Linked DNA regions of Arabidopsis thaliana. The protein of the gene in region 2 purifies or fractionates together with the protein of the main gene of each other region. This does not show direct contact. Each region holds a gene or a part of one and is shown on either strand. Other genes may lie near its edges.

Region 1 (4,632 bases), on a different chromosome or scaffold from region 2:
ACAACAATATATACAAAAGTTTAATAAAACATTTTTAAAAAGAGGTTTTCTAATAAAATGTGGCAATAATCGACGGTTTGGATATTATTTTAGTAGAAATCTTGTCATATAATTAATTTTGTATTAAAGCTAATATGAAAAAGGTGCAAGTCATAAAGCACCACGTACTCTCGTGCACAAAGTCTCACGGGATTTGCATTCTGATCACAAAGATGTGTTTACTACAACTCATTTTATGACCATAATTCTTGTTAATGCCTAAAAATTAATCCGATCCAACTTTAATAGTCTGGACCCAATCGGCCGATGGACTTTAATTACTATTGGTTTTATGAGTTTTGAAAATTCAAAAAGAATATAGAAAAGGTTAAGCAAACTTAAAGTCTTTCGCTGAATTGTAGCTTTTTAGGAATAAGAGTCTTTTTGTTATAAGAAAAAAAGTCTTCCGTTGGCACATATATTATCGCGATGGAGAGAGATCACGACTCACGCGAGAGACCCCCGTGAAAGTTTCATGACAATTTTTTTGGTTGTCGGTCTCGGCCGTGACCGATTAGATGTTCACATCAATGACCCACGTTCCAAAAAAGATGAATTAATTTGCATTTATAAATTCTAATCTATCATCGTTTCAACCATTTTTATATTCAGACCATACGGTAAACCATTTTAGACAACACCATTAGTCATATAGTTAAATAACGAGTAGGGCTACAAAAAAGAGAGTTGAATAGTTGTTCATTGAAGATCTTCTCGAATCTTGACATAGGTACTACTTGATAATGGAATCCAACGCTGTAGATTAACCATGTGCAAGGGAGTGGTTAATTAGTACTATTATATGTATGTACTCTCAATTTCTTTCACTTTTGAATGTTCATTGGTTCTTTCTCTTATTGATTATTTACATTCCCATTATAGATTCCAGTTTTGTCACCTTGTGGGGGAGGCCGATTCACTCTTCTCCTCTTCCCTTTTCTTGGATATCTCAATTCACAGTCCGCAAAAAGAGTTTCTACTGATGTCATAATTTAAACGCGTTATTTTCTCCTATATATTCGTTTTGGTGGGTTTCTCGTATTTTAACAACTATTGAAACAAATAAAATGAATCACACGAAAAAACACACTATAGAGTCTATATCTTCGATAACATATAACATACATGATTTGATGAAAGCAAACTGAGAAAACGTTTTTTTTTTTTTTTTTTTTTCTGTTTTGGTCAAAGAAGATGTTTTTATTTTATTTTATCAAATTATTATATAGTTTTAACTATATTTTTCATACGAGGACAGATTTTTTTTTGCATGTTTGATATCTTAATTTTTTGAAAAGTTTTGTGGTTTCTAGTACCCATAGTTTTCTATTTAAAGTGGTTTCATAAAACATTAAAATTCTGGTTTCGATGTAGTTTTCTATACACACTTTAAAGTGTTAATAGCACTATTTATAGACAGAAACGAAAATTCAACACTAATTGATTATGAAATTTTGGAATTGAGTTCTCACGAGCTTGTGATTATCTGACTTGGACGTTTTTATAAACTATTGTCTTTTTTTGTATCTTAATTTTCGTGGCTTTATTCAAAAGTTAAAAAAAAAAAATTAAAATAATAATAATCAGAAATTGAAATTTTAAATTTACATTACGTGTAAGCAGAATTAACTTATAATTTTTCATAAAAGCAAACAAAATTTTAAAGACTAAATGTCAAATTCAGTTTATTTTCATAGTTTTAAAATTTAACACAAATGTTTTTAAAAATATAATTCACTATTGATTTAAGGTTATTCTTAAATAATGTACAATTAGAAACTTTAGTTACTTCATTAACGGTAAGAAAAAGTTGCCGTTACACTCGTTACAACAGTCATATTTTGTTTTTCACTGCGTAACAATTTATCAAAATGTAAACATAGAGAAGCGGTAGTTGGGCCTTTTTCTCTCCTTTCAAAATATATAATGGGCTTTTTAGTTCACGGAAGACCTAGAGCTTGGAATCGTCTGTAATATACTCCACACTAAAGTATATCTAACACTAAACAAATCCAACGGCTGAGAGTCTTTTATTCACTATAACACGTGATAGTTCTCCCTAACTCGTAAGGATAATAATCTGAAGGAGTGATGAGAAAATATTAACGAAAAACAAAAAAAAAAAGACAGAAGACAAAAAAAAATCACGAAATCTGATTTTCCTCTCTTTTGCTCGAAGCCAAGTCTCTGCTTTTACTTTGATCCACCAACTTCATCTTCAACCTCTCGATTTTAGGTACGTTTTTCCCTTTCTTTGTGTATCTTAGAAGTCTTTTGATTTTCACGCTGATTCATTTCTGGAAGTTTTTCGATTTGGTCTTCATAGATTCCTGAAATCGTTAGTTTGAAATTGATTGAGATCTTTGATTCTATATAGAAAATTTATCTGATCTGTTTATTCTGGAATCAATTTGTGATTAGAGGAAATTGTGTCCTCTGTTTTAAGTTTCTGATTTTGGATTTGAAGATCCGATTTTTGCATCTTGATGATTCATTTCAAAAAATGTCTAATTTTGGTATGATTTTTGCTTGTCTCAGGTAAGATTCTTAGAGTGATTTTGACTTATCTAAGAATGGAGCTAAAGAGCATTAAGGATGCGTTTGATCGTGTTGCGACGAAGCAGAAGCTCTCTTATAGCAAAACTAATGAGATTGTTCATATGTTGTCTCAAGAAATCGATAAGGCTTTGAGCATATTAGAGGAGACACCATCATCAGATACTATGCTTCTTGATCATAGATCTATCCTCGCTGATGTGAAGAAAGTGTTTATGGAGATTGCTCCAATCACTCAACTTGAAGCTACTGAGAAAGAGCTACATGCGGCTTTGACCAAGTACCCTAAAGTTCTTGAGAAACAGCTGAATCCAGACATATCAAAGGCTTATAGACACAATGTTGAGTTTGATACTCATATCGTTAACCAGATTATCGCCAACTTTTTCTACCGTCAAGGAATGTTTGACATTGGTGACTGTTTTGTTGCTGAAACTGGTGAATCTGAATGTTCTACAAGACAATCTTTCGTGGAGATGTATCGGATACTAGAAGCTATGAAGAGACGAGATCTTGAACCGGCTCTTAATTGGGCTGTTTCGAACTCTGACAAACTAAAGGAAGCAAGGTCTGATCTTGAGATGAAGCTTCATAGTCTACACTTTCTGGAAATAGCACGAGGCAAAAACTCCAAAGAAGCTATCGACTATGCGAGAAAGCATATCGCCACGTTTGCAGATAGCTGCCTCCCGGAGATCCAGAAGCTCATGTGTTCTCTCTTATGGAACAGAAAACTCGATAAATCACCATACTCCGAGTTTCTCTCCCCCGCTCTGTGGAACAATGCAGTCAAAGAGCTAACCCGACAGTACTGCAACCTACTCGGTGAATCATCTGAAAGCCCGTTGAGTATAACAGTAACAGCGGGCACACAAGCGTTACCAGTACTATTGAAATACATGAACGTGGTGATGGCGAATAAGAAGCTTGATTGGCAGACCATGGAACAACTTCCTGTTGATGCGCAACTATCCGAGGAGTTTCAGTTTCATTCGGTGTTTGTCTGTCCAGTCTCTAAAGAACAGTCAAGTGATGATAACCCTCCGATGATGATGTCTTGTGGACATGTGCTTTGCAAGCAGACGATCAACAAAATGTCAAAGAATGGCTCTAAGTCGTCGTTCAAGTGTCCTTATTGCCCAACCGATGTAGACATCTCAAGGTGTAGGCAGTTGCACTTTTGAAACGAAAGCTCGGGAATTTGTACGACCGATATAAACTGGAACTAAGTTCTGAATCGGTGAAATCTGTGTCAAAATTGTAACCTTGTGGTGTTCTCTGTTTCTTTTTTTCATGAAGTTTTTTAAGTGATGGGGCTTTGGTGTACAAATTGATCAGGGGAAGTTTTTAGATGATTGGACATCCCATAAGAATGTGTTTTTGGTGTTGTTGCTATTTGTTTGTTAAACCTTTTGAATATAGAAATTCTTTACACTGCAAATTTAGTTTAGATTAGCTGGAACCCTGGAAATTAAGCTCTCTTTTAGAATTACTGGTCACATGGAAATAAAACAAATTGATTTTTGCTGCGCTCATCTGTTAAATAGAGAATCATGTCTTAGTTAATCTAATTTTCGTACAATCATTGTTTGGATGGGTTAGACACATATAACGCTACAATAGAAGTAGTTCTTGAGTTAGAGAATTAGGCTCTTTCTTTATTATATGTGAGGCAAATGTTGGTTTATTGTGTTGTTCGTCTCTTCTTTGGTTAGCTTAGACACTTTGGCCTTTTCAAGACTCGTATTGGTTTCTTCTTTGATTAGCTTAGAGAATTTGGCTGTTTCAAGACTCGTTTTGGTTAGCTTAGAGAATTTGAATTCCTAAACAAGATTTATTGGGCTTAGACCCCAAAAGATGGGCTTAAGCTTGCACTTGTGTATATGTCGATTCATACGTGTGTCTCGTTCATGCGAGTCAGCTTGGTTTTGAATCCACGAATGACGAGACCTATTCTTCTCAAAAGAGTACACAAAATATATCCAAGTTTAAATATACCAAAAGGCAAAAGCAATGAACCACGTTCCACGTATCAAA
Region 2 (6,445 bases):
TCAATGTGCACACTATTTTATATGTATGTCTGCTATTGTTTTAACTCATTCAGTATTTGATTCATTTTCTTTCTTTATAAAAAAACAAGAACATAGAGTATAGATCCAAAATAGATTACAAAAACATAGAGTATGATCCAACGGATTTTAACATTGGGTGGATTAGCGTAGGATTATCGAATTTACTGATCCAATTGCGGAATTATATTGGAGTATGACACAATAAATTAAATACAGAAAATTACAAAATAAATTTTATTAAATAGAAAATATTATGATTATGATTTATGATGTAAACTATCAAACCAAAATTGCCACAAATATTTCCTCACGCTGCACATCGTGGATCCTTATCTAGTTTACCTTTAGATTTTCAAACCTCTAAAATTGAAATAATGTTTGATAATTTTCAATAATGCAAAAAAAGAATGAAGAAGAAATTCAATCAAAACAAAAGACAAACATATCACATATAAACTTCATTGTTCTGATGCTTCTTTGATTTAGCAATTTTGGGGAAAAATAAGTTCGAATGCAAAAATAAAGTTTGTAATTATTCAACAAAAAATTCGGGCATACCAATTTTTTTTCTTTCTTTTAATCGTTTGAATGCAATTTTTTTGTTCGGAATATGAACATGGCATGTAGAAAGATGAAATGCTTGCTAGAGCGTTGAAGTTTAGAGAAGCGTTTGTTAGCATGAAAGCTTTTGATACCAATGATAAATTTTTGATCTATTGAAACCTTTTAGTGTTATTATCACTTACTTTTTAGGCTCTAAGTATCCCACATCCAATGTATACTTTACACAAATATGGAGGATTGAGTTGTTGCTGAAGAAGTATGCTATTTGTGATGATGATGTTGTTGAGCAAGTGGCTCAAGAGATGCATGGTAAATTTTCCGAGTATTGGGAAGATTATAGTCTCATTTTGGCTATGAGAGCAGTTTTGGATCCGAAGCTTAAATTGAAGATGCTTGAAGTAGCTTAAAAGAAAGTAAATTCTACTACTTATAAGTTAAAAATTAAAGGGCTCGAGAAGAATTTGATGATATTGTATAAAGTTGGAACTTGGTGAATTAACTTAATGTGAGTTTTTGTAACATAAGATCTATTTGAACTAGAAAGAAGTATTGAAGACGGTGTGAACAACACAAAGACACACTTGGATATTTATTTGGATGAGAGTGAAAGTCTTTTTCGAAATTTGGATGTCTTAAGCTATTGGAAAGATAATCAGAATCGATTTGGCGGTTTAGCTTCTATGACATGCGATGTCCTTAGCATTCCTATTACTAAAGTAGCATCAAACTCAGCTTTTAGCATTGGATCGAGGGTTTTGACTCCATATAGAAATCGCTTGCTTCCAGAAAATGTTCATGTTTGCTTTGTACTCGCAATTGGCTACGCAAGTTTGTTGACTATGAAGGTAAGAGTTTTAAATTGAAAGCTTTATAGGTAATTGAATTATATTAATTAAATTTCATTGTAAATTGTAGGTACCACAGAAGATACCAATGAGTTTAACCATGGAGATACTCGAAAGACTACAAGTAGTTCGAGAGTAGAAGGTTCAAGATCGGAAAAATCAAGTGTGCCATGAAACTTTTGTTTTTTCTCTTTTGTTTTTGAAATATTTTTTATTTTAAGTTTTGTTTTGGTAATAAAACCACTTTTGATATTAAAAGTCTTTATGAATCACATTTGATAAAAACATGGATTTGATTTTACATTTTAAAAGTGTGTATGAATTAAATTTGATAAAACATGGATTAATTTTACATTTTATAAAAAAGTTTGTGTTTTTTTATGAATTGAAACAGCCAACTAATTGGTATATAACTAAATATTATTTATGAAATTTATATAGAGAAATATATATAAGAAAAAAATAAGTCTAACAAATACCGAAACTAGCGGGTCACAAAAATAAACAACGGATCAAAAAATAAATCAAAGAGAAGAAGAAATCTCAACAAATTCTCTAATTCAGTGTTCTTCTTCTTATAGACTCCAAAAACCTCTGAAGAGCCTAATCTCAAAATTTCTAGGGTTTTCTCTAATCGGAACCAAAACCAATGAACTCTTCACCACCACCGGCGAATTCCGCCAACGGCGATACAACCAACAACGGCGAGAACGGTCAAGATCTGAACTTAAACTTCTTAGACAAGATTCGTCTCTCCGCTAAACGAGATGCGAAGGAAGACGAAGGAGAAGAATTACCGACGGAGTTGAATACGATCAATAGCGCCGGCGGATTTCTTGTGGTTTCTCCTGATAAGCTTTCCGTGAAGTACACGAATACGAATCTACATGGTCACGATGTTGGTGTTGTTCAAGCTAATAAACCTGCTCCGATCAAGTGTCTTACTTACTACTTTGAGATTTTTGTTAAAGATTCTGGTATTAAAGGACAAATTGCTATTGGTTTTACTAAGGAAAGCTTCAAAATGCGTAGACAACCTGGGTATTGTTTTCTTTATCTTTGGATTTTGGATCCAATCTTTGTTGATCATTGTGTGTTGAAGTTGTTTAGGGAAGAATCTGAATTTGAAGGATTTAGTTCAAGAAGTATAGTTTTAGCTTGTAGCTTGATCATTGTTGTGTTTAAGGTATGGTTTATTTTAGAAATTGAGGTTTGTGGTATGGTTTTGGGATCCAAGTTGTGGTTTAGTTATTATAGAGATTTAGCTTCTTGGATTAGGTTGTGTGTGTTCTTTCTGGTGAGTTCAGTTGTGTAGAAGTGGTTTAGGGAAGAATCTGAAATTCGAAGGACATTGCTTTGTGGTTTATTTGAAAGCTAGGTTCTTGAGTTTACAAATATGGATGATAGTGCCTTTGAAAGAAGCTTTATCTGCCTAATACTTGAATTTGAGGTTATAGTTTTCTTTTGTAATGGTAGATGGGAAGTGAACAGCTGTGGATATCATGGGGATGATGGATACCTATATCGTGGACAGGGAAAAGGTGAACCTTTTGGTCCAAAGTTTACAAAAGATGATGCAGTTGGCGGTGGTATAAACTACGCTTCTCAGGAGTTCTTTTTCACGTAAGAAAGAAACTGTTTCATGTTTTTTGGTACTTAAATAAGTTCATTACTACTGTGAGTTGAATTCATGATTCATTCATTTTCCTGTTACTCTTTGTCTGTTAAAGCTGATGACATTTTTGATTATTTTTGTTGGTGCCAGTAAAAACGGAACTATTGTTGGGAAAATCCCCAAGGACATAAGAGGTCATCTATTCCCTACTGTAGCTGTACATAGCCAAAATGAGGAGTATGTTCTCACTCTCTCTTTAAAGATCAATACCATTGCCATCATGTATCTCACTCTCTCTTACACAAAGCATATTTTTCTGAAATTTTGGCAGGGTATTAGTCAATTTTGGGAAGAAGAAATTTGCTTTCGATATTAAGGTAAGAGGAAAAATCCTTTCAAACGTGGTTAATTAGGTCTCATAGCTTTATACTAAAGTAAGGATGGTGTAACCAGGACTACTGCTATTGAAATCACATAATAGGTATGCCTCATGTCCGTTCTTGGTACTGGGGTTACCGAATCTATAGCAGTGGTTCTCTTTGTAGACATTGCTCTCACATTTGCTATTTTACTGTTCCTGTGTAATCAAACCTCAAACTCTTGGGCACTCAAGTTATAATCTTTAAACACTGAAGTAGGGCATAAAAATTCTTTCCATTACATATATGTTTGAAATTAAGTAATTGACGAGGGCTGTTTCCCTCTTTCTGTATTATTAGGGATATGAAGCATCAGAGAGGAATAAGCAACAATTGGCTATTGAAAAAATATCCATACCTCCAAACATTGGTTATGGGTGAGTACACTCCTTCCCAGCAGTAACAGATCATGTACTTTTTTAACTTTGAATTGCAATACTTGGTTTCCCTTCTGGACTAGCTTTCTGCTTTATCTATAATTTTGTTTTCTTTATCATTAGGCTTGTCAAGACCTACCTGCTACACTATGGGTATGAGGAGACACTCGATGCTTTCAACCTTGCTACTAAAAATACAGTTCCTCCAATTCATATAGATCAAGAAAATGCTATTGACGAGGATGATTCATCCTATGCTTTGAAACAGAGAAAGAATCTTAGACAGGTATTGAACTTGCTACGGTTTAACATATAAGACATGTTATCTTCTAACTTTATTAGGCTTGTATCTGGCTTTTTTTGGTTCCTATTCAAACCCATACTAAATTACTGCTTCGTTAGTGAATTTGGACTGATTCATTCTTTATTGGGTGTAGCTTGTTAGGAATGGTGAGATTGATACTGCTTTGGCGGAACTCCAAAAGTTGTATCCCCAAATTGTACAGGTGAACTGAGATTTCTTATCATATTGTTGAGATGATCCACTTCACAGGATTGTGATACGAAGTCTTACCCGGCTGTACCTACTGCAGGACGATAAATCTGTAGTTTGCTTCCTCCTTCACTGTCAAAAGTTTATTGAATTAGTACGGGTATGCTCTTCATTCCTTAACCATCTAAATTTCGTGTTCTTAATACTTGTCAGAAATATTCTCTCTCTGTGCATATAAGAATAAAATTTTTGTAATTAAGGAAGCTTTTGATGGATTTGGTGTCTCATACAAAAATTAGCTGCTTGAACTGTGTGATGGACTTTGGTGTTAAACCATAAACTAGTGAAAAAATGCACAGAACCTATAACACACTGGAAACCATGTTACATAGATGCATGGAACCTTGTCACCGTGTATAAATATCACCTTAAGTTAGTTCTCTGGATTATTCCTTCTTTGTTCACTTTCACATCTATGCAGATGGGGCTATTTCTCTAACTATATGGTTTTGGAAAAACATGGCATAAACAGGTTGGAAAACTTGAAGAAGGTGTGAACTATGGCAGACTCGAGTTAGCTAAATTTGTTGGGTTAACTGGATTTCAAGATATAGTCGAGGTACCAATGTCTCCTTTACTCCTTTTTCTTTCAAGCAAGATCTGGTTTCTGAGAATATGTATGTATTGCGTTCAGATACAGAGACTATATATGTTGCTGCTTCGCTTAGGAACTCTATTTTCTTGTTGATTATTCAGGACTGCTTTGCTTTGCTCGCGTATGAAAAGCCTGAGGAATCATCGGTCTGGTATTTCCTAGAAGACTCACAGAGGGAATTAGTGGCTGATGCGGTGAATGCAGCAATACTATCAACAAATCCAAATAAGAAAGATGTGCAGAGAAGCTGTCACTTGCAATCCCATCTAGAGAAACTGCTAAGACAGTTAACCGTGTGCTGTTTAGAAAGGCGGTCACTGAATGGAGACCAAGGTGAAACATTCCGGCTTCGACATGTTCTTAACAACAACAGATAAAGAAGATGAAAATGGCTTAGCCGCGCATATATTTTGAAAACTCTGTTTTTCTATGGTCGTTATCATCATAAGTGGCTTTTGTTCATTACTTGTGTGATATTATGTTGAACTTTCCATTATGTAAAGGAGAAAGTTAGAAAAATGGGTTCGACGTTAAGACACTGGGACTTCCACTGTTATTGGTTCTTTAAAGTTTAGATGATTCAAATTAAGATTTTCAACATTCAAATCAGAAATGGAAAAACTGAATTAGCGGTGGGGGTGTTCGGGTTTAGCGGTATCTTTCGGGTTTTGTAACTTTTGTTCGCTTGGGGTTACCTGAAATTATTCTCAAAAAGAGATTTTATGGTAAACAGAAATTTTTATGAAGAGAATCTTTAATTTTTTATTTTCTTTTCATAATTTCATGTGACGATGTATAAATGTTATGATGGTAAATAAATATTATTGTAAATTATAATCAGTTTTAAACAATCGAGAAAAAACAAATTCTTGTTTAAAATGTAAATTTAATAATTATAATTACAATTTTCACATTTTCAAAATAATAGTAAATATGAAATTTGACCTATCCAATAAAAGCCCAATAACTAATGTAAATAGAGTCTATATTGATCATATTTAGCTTCATCCAATGCTTTTGTGATTAAAAACCCACGTGAAAAAAGGCAATGAGTCCCACATCGGATGCGAAAGCAAGAAAAAATGAAAGTTTGGCTATAAATAGTTAAACATACCGAGTGTTGAACATATATATTTTTCTCATGCTTTGGTTGAAGGTGGCAATAACCTCAAATATATCAGAGGGTGTAGATACTCAACGACTATAGGAGGCAATAACTTGAGCAAACAATTGATTGCAGAAATCCATCGACTAAAGCTGTCACCTGTTTGATTCCAGCTTTTGTCTCCTTACCTGTTGAGTGTCTAAACTCTCTGGTACGTTCATAGTTGTTGCTGCCTTTCGCTTTTTTTTTTACTACACGCAATTGTTTGAAAGAAATATTTCATGTGAATTTTAGATTATTTATTTATGTTCTGTCTCTTACTTTTTATAAAAATTCTAAACAAACAAGGAG
Region 3 (5,670 bases), 9.5 Mb from region 2:
TCATCATCTTCAAACTCAAAACCACCATCACAATCATCAACCGGAAATTCACCTCCCAGACCAAACATTGAACCTTCCTCACCCATCAAAAATCACAAAAAAAAAAAAAAAAAACTAACCCGAGAAAGAACGAGAAGAGGAACAAACCCTAAATCAGAAAACCCAAAAGTCACGGAATTTCAGCTCCCGGGAAACCCAAATCGAAATTCAGAAGTAGACGCGTAGATCCAGAGATTGTAGAATTTTCAGGTACGACGAAGAAGAAGGCTTGAGAATTGGGTTTTGAAGGAATTTTCGAGGAAAGGTAGAGAGCAGTTGGGATAGAGAAAATAAAAATCGCGACTTTTTGTAGCGACGGTGGCTTCTTTTTATTGCCTTGTTCTCTCTTTTGGCTTTCTCCGAATTGGAAAAAGTAAACACCACAAGGCTATGGGACTTCCGGCTTTAAATAAGGAACGGTCGAACATTTGTTTTTCTTTTTCTTTCATTTTTTTCCATTTTTTCATTATTTAATAATGCATGATTATATATAATTATATTTTATGCGCCGTCATCTTTATTGTTAAAGCAAAATCACAATTTAAACAAAAGGAAACAACTTTAATTAGTAGTAGGAAACTGAAGTGTTTAAGTAATGGAGATTTTTTTGAAGTGTTTGCTAATCATAATTTATTGTAAAAATTATTTTTAATTGTGTGAAAATTAGATTTTCTACACTAACAAAAAAATTTCATATGTTAAAGAAAACAAATATGAAACTAAATCACAAAGATCAATTGGAATTAGACATGTGGATCGACTCATTAGAAAAATAATCATCTCAATCAATAAGAAGAGATAAAACATATATTTGACTAAATGATCTTACCAATCTTGTGGTCATAAAATTCTACAAAGCACTATATTGCTAATTTCTACAAAGCACATTTGTAATCTTCTGAATCATTTGTTAGCCCTAAAAGAAGACTAGTATTATACGAGATCACCATTTTTATGATTGATCAAATATCTTGTAGAGCGCAAAACTTTGTAGGTAGTTTGATGAGAAAGAGCTTGCTTATTATGTGATCAACAATTCCGTTCTTGCCATGTCTCAAAGTAGTTGCTTGCCATATTAATTGATATGAAGAGCCTTTGATTTTGCAGAGATAGGAATTGCCAAAAGAAACCATATGAGGATTGACTCGAGAAGTTTTAGTGTAACTTCTTCACTAAGTCCTTCCAAACCAGTTGGGAAAAATAATATTAAAGAATAAGTGGTCCATTGATTCTTAGTCGGTCAACTAGCTAGAAGACCTCAAATTCTGCAATCGATCCTTTGTCTTATTGTGGTTCCACACAAACAACCATGTGCAAAGAACAAAACATGTTTTGGGACTTTAGTTTGAAGATGCAATTAAACATATTGTTAGATTGTTGACCAAGAAAAAACATATTGTTGAGATTGAAAGATATATTTTGCATCGGACTGCAAAATGTTTATGTCACATATTTGTTACCTAATAGTTGATTTTAATAGAGTATAATAGAGTATCAGTTATTGGTTTTAAATTGTGTATCAAATTCCAAATAATATAGAGATTTTTAACATCAGTCTTATTTAATTATGATTTTAACCAAGTGTCGTTAGCTCAATTGGTAAAGACCTTATGCAAAGCTTAGAGGTCGCCGGTTCGAGTGACGCTTGGGACGAAACTAATATTTTATGCTGTGGTTTCAGGCCTGGGGGATTACGGACTTTGACCCACAACCTCCAAGATTTAAAAAAAAAAATAAAAAAAAATTATGATTTTAAATCGAAATTTTGTTCTTCAAAGGTAAAATAGTTTAAAAATCTTTGGGTATTAAAATCATTTGGAAATGAGTTACATAATACTATCCGGTATATAAAGAACCAAATCCAAAAACAAACCGGTTCCCTTAATAATTTAAACCGGATTATTCATCGACGGTTCGTCAACATCCTAATAATTTAAACCCGATCTCTTCTTCTCTATCGAAAACCTCCAACTTTTTTTTGTTTTATCAGATTGTAAATTTAGGGAAGAGACTTTCGCAAGCAATCTAGAAGCAAATCGATCGCCAAATCTCCGGATTATTTGCAAGAATCGTTCCCAGATAATCTTCCCCAGATTCTCCACTTCTCCAGGTACATCGTTATATTCAATTTTTGAGGAAAATAGTCGCACACTCTCTCTTTCTTAGAACTACCACTCCTGTGCTGTTTTGAGATTAAAGCTTGAATTTTGACTAAAGCCCTAAATTACTTTGTATCACTATCTGATCACAAAGTCAATTTCTTTTGGAAATAGCTCTGATCGGAGTGTTGCTCGAACAGGTATTAATTTCGTATTGAGTGGATTAGATTAGATTTCAAGATATGAGAGCCTCACTGGCGTTCTAATGTCACTGTTTCGTATTTTTATCAATCAGCTTGAAGAAGACGACGAAGATATGGTAATTTTGACTCCTCTTATGAGTCTGTTCTTTGTGTTATTTGATACAACTTGATGATGGGTTTTTGGAAAACTTTAATCTTTATGCACGTTGTGTGACCTAGTTTTAATCGTGGCTTGTCGCAGGCTACTTCGAAGAAAATGATCACACGTGAAGAATGGGAGAAGAAACTAAATGCTGTGAAGCTTAGGAAAGAAGATATGAATACTTTGGTGATGAATTTTCTTGTGACTGAAGGATATGTTGAAGCTGCTGAGAAATTCCAAAGGGAGTCTGGAACCAAACGTATCCTTTTTCTGATTCTGGTTTTGAGTTTTTGTTTATGGAATTGGTGTGTTTGATGTTTAGCTTATCTACTCCTTTTGAACTTCCTTATCGAGAAACAGCAGAGATAGATCTTGCGACCATTACTGATCGAATGGCTGTTAAAAAGGCTGTTCAAAACGGAAATGTCGAGGATGCGATTGAAAAAGTTAATGATTTGAATCCTGAGGTACAATGCTTCTTCATATCTTGTGTGGAGAGTAGTCATTCACTTTTCTGATGTAATAAAGAAGCAAAATCTGATTCTTCTTTGAACCCATGCTTGCAGATACTAGACACGAATCCGGAGCTCTTTTTTCATCTTCAGCAGCAAAGGTTGATAGAATTAATTCGACAAGGGAAGACAGAAGAGGCCTTAGAGTTTGCTCAGGAGGAACTTGCACCACGTGGCGAAGAAAACGTAAGTCTTTGTATTTCACTTTGATTTCTGTCGTTAAAGATGGTGTTTTCCATGTGTATTGCTCATTGACTGTGTGTAATATCTGTTGTTGCTGAAACTTCATTCATACAGTCTGTTATATCTCTCTGCAGCAAGCGTTTCTGGAAGAATTGGAAAAAACTGTAGCCCTACTTGTTTTTGACGATGCCTCTACCTGCCCGGTTAAAGAGCTTCTTGATCTTTCCCACCGTCTTAAGACAGCAAGTGAAGTAAATGCAGCGATTCTTACAAGCCAGAGCCACGAAAAAGGTAGCTTTTGAATTTTGATGTTATACTGGTTGTCTTTTAGTAGCCACAAAATACCATTATAATCTCGAGCATCATTCATTATCAATCTTAAGATTCAAAGTATATGCAACTCTTCTCTACATAACAAGTAAAATTTTTCATTCATTACTTCACCCACAACATGTATCATCCAAGTTCTTCTTGAAACTTTCCATTTTCCTCCATGGTTAATGTAGCAACTCAATGTTTGTGAACAAACAGATCCTAAACTTCCAAGCTTGTTGAAGATGTTGATTTGGGCTCAAACTCAACTGGACGAGAAAGCAGTGTATCCGCACATTAATGATTTGTCTACCGGTAAGCTCGAAGACCCGTCAGAATGATTCCGTACTTCTTTCAGCCATTGGAAATCAGTAGCAAAAAGGAACAATGAATGGTGCTCTCTTCTCTTCCCGTCAATCTCAATAACTTACAATTCATATGCTTTCTGCTTTTCCTTTTCTTCTGCATCGGGATTTGTTGGACCCGCAATCGTTAGGATATGGGGAGGGGAACATAAGCTTTTGTAGGCAATGAATTACTCTAGTCAAATGTTCTTATTATCAACATATTTGATGACTCATTGCATACGTGCATTTGATTTGAATGAAGTTATCGACTTTGTTTGGATCTTTGTGTTTGTTTTGAGGAATATTTTTGTTCCAAAAGGTTCGAATTGTAAACAAGAGAGATGGCTTATTCATCCCATGTATAGTTACATGAATCAATGAATCAACTTGGCACGGTTCCTACTTACCTAGAAAGCAACATGACCTATTGAATTGAGTGCTGTTACCGTCGAAATGGAGAATCTCTGCGAACCGTACTGAAACATCATTTGATTTTTCTTCTTCTTCGCAAAATATTATTTTGGTACTGACACAGCTTTGAATCTTGCATGACATGGTACGAAGTAAATAAAGGGAAGTAGTAATAGCAACTTTTTGATATATAAAATAGGAAACATAATCCACAAGACTCAAGACCTTATGTTGACTCTAGCCATCTCAATCTTGCATGATATGGTCTTCCGGATCATAGGATTTGGAGGGTTTGCTCTCCACCTCATCTTCGGATGCGGGTCGGCCCAAATTGCTTTGTCCGCAGTCAACATCTGCAAACTCCTCAGACACGAGCGGCACCTTTTCCTTGATGCTTCTAAGTTTGGCCTCTACCTTCTCAGCTTCATCAACTACATCTGACACATAATTAAGGATCCATCCGCAGTTCGCTGCACATACCCCTTCCTGCAACTCCTCGCGTAGCCCTTCCTGGAACAGACACGCCAGCTGCTCTTCCTCCAACTCTCTTCCGAGGTTCTTGACCTTCTTAAGGAACTCGTTATAATACTCACGCACTGTCTCTGTTCCTTGCTTCACCTCAAAGGCTTCCCAGCTCAAGGCAATGTTGACGTCAACCAGCTTAGACTCATCGAAGGCTCCGCGCTCAGAAGCTTCTCGGGGTGGCTGATCCTCCTCCCCAACTACCCCTGTGAGCTCAAAGTTTTTTGGTTCACCAGATGTCTTGATCGACCTGGTCTGCCTGCGGGTCAATAATTCATCGAGTTTTATACATTTAATAATTTGTTACAAAATATGAAAACAAGGATAGTTTTCAGTTAGAAAAACAATTTATTATCTTAGAAAATCATGACTATGCTAAATCTAATATATTTAAATAAAAAACTTTACATCAAAATTCTAACAAATTATCAAATATTATGGATTTGAGGGAGTATAAATTATCATTATAATTCAACAAAATTAAAACTGAATTTTGCGAAAACATAATTTATATGAAACTCGAGTATAAAAATGATGACTCGAAATGGATCAAATAGAATAAAGCAATCGTAATGTCGAATAGTGGAAAAGAGATTTATATCTTATTTTATTTTGTCTGAAAAAGATCTATCTTCACCTATTTTTATTGAACTTTAAATATTTTAAGCAAAAATAAAATTGATTCAATTTGATATAAAATGAGCAAAGACCTTTTGATCATGATCCTTTACAAGATTTTCATTTCATGCTTTATCATTACAGAAAAAAAAAATCTAACAAACTAATCTGAAAGCTAAAAGATTGAAAATAATATAGTTTCTTAATATATTTTATCAAAATCATTAATAGATATTGTGAAATAGATAATAGAAAATTGAGAATATCTAAGGAACTTACAAA

What was found.
Region 1: the proteins of RanBPM (region 2) and AT4G37880 purify together in Arabidopsis thaliana (affinity purification with mass spectrometry; 2 studies listed by BioGRID, with this or other methods). This does not show direct contact.
Region 3: the proteins of RanBPM (region 2) and AT1G61150 purify together in Arabidopsis thaliana (affinity purification with mass spectrometry; 2 studies listed by BioGRID, with this or other methods). This does not show direct contact.

The regions. Positions count from the first base shown.
Region 1 is NC_003075.7:17,807,571-17,812,202, forward strand, and holds AT4G37880 (LisH/CRA/RING-U-box domains-containing protein), read left to right. Parts: upstream 1-2,066; 5' UTR 2,067-2,275; intron 2,276-2,577; 5' UTR 2,578-2,612; coding exon 2,613-3,779; 3' UTR 3,780-4,089; downstream 4,090-4,632.
Region 2 is NC_003070.9:13,050,557-13,057,001, reverse strand, and holds RanBPM (SPla/RYanodine receptor (SPRY) domain-containing protein), read left to right. Parts: upstream 1-1,908; 5' UTR 1,909-2,079; coding exon 2,080-2,471; intron 2,472-2,906; coding exon 2,907-3,053; intron 3,054-3,195; coding exon 3,196-3,282; intron 3,283-3,376; coding exon 3,377-3,422; intron 3,423-3,764; coding exon 3,765-3,841; intron 3,842-3,964; coding exon 3,965-4,127; intron 4,128-4,278; coding exon 4,279-4,347; intron 4,348-4,434; coding exon 4,435-4,494; intron 4,495-4,866; coding exon 4,867-4,953; intron 4,954-5,090; coding exon 5,091-5,366; 3' UTR 5,367-5,845; downstream 5,846-6,445.
Region 3 is NC_003070.9:22,540,525-22,546,194, forward strand, and holds AT1G61150 (LisH and RanBPM domains containing protein), read left to right. Parts: upstream 1-1,972; 5' UTR 1,973-2,149; exon of another isoform or gene 2,150-2,338; 5' UTR 2,339-2,403; coding exon 2,404-2,457; intron 2,458-2,582; coding exon 2,583-2,742; exon of another isoform or gene 2,743-2,779; coding exon of another isoform or gene 2,780-2,843; coding exon 2,844-2,950; intron 2,951-3,049; coding exon 3,050-3,181; intron 3,182-3,312; coding exon 3,313-3,469; intron 3,470-3,709; coding exon 3,710-3,831; 3' UTR 3,832-4,494; coding exon of another isoform or gene 4,495-5,029; 3' UTR 5,030-5,137; downstream 5,138-5,670. Other genes in the region: EDA16 (SNF2 domain-containing protein / helicase domain-containing protein / zinc finger protein-like protein), read right to left, coding at 1-86; AT1G61160 (retrotransposon gag), read right to left, coding at 4,495-5,029, 5,668-5,670.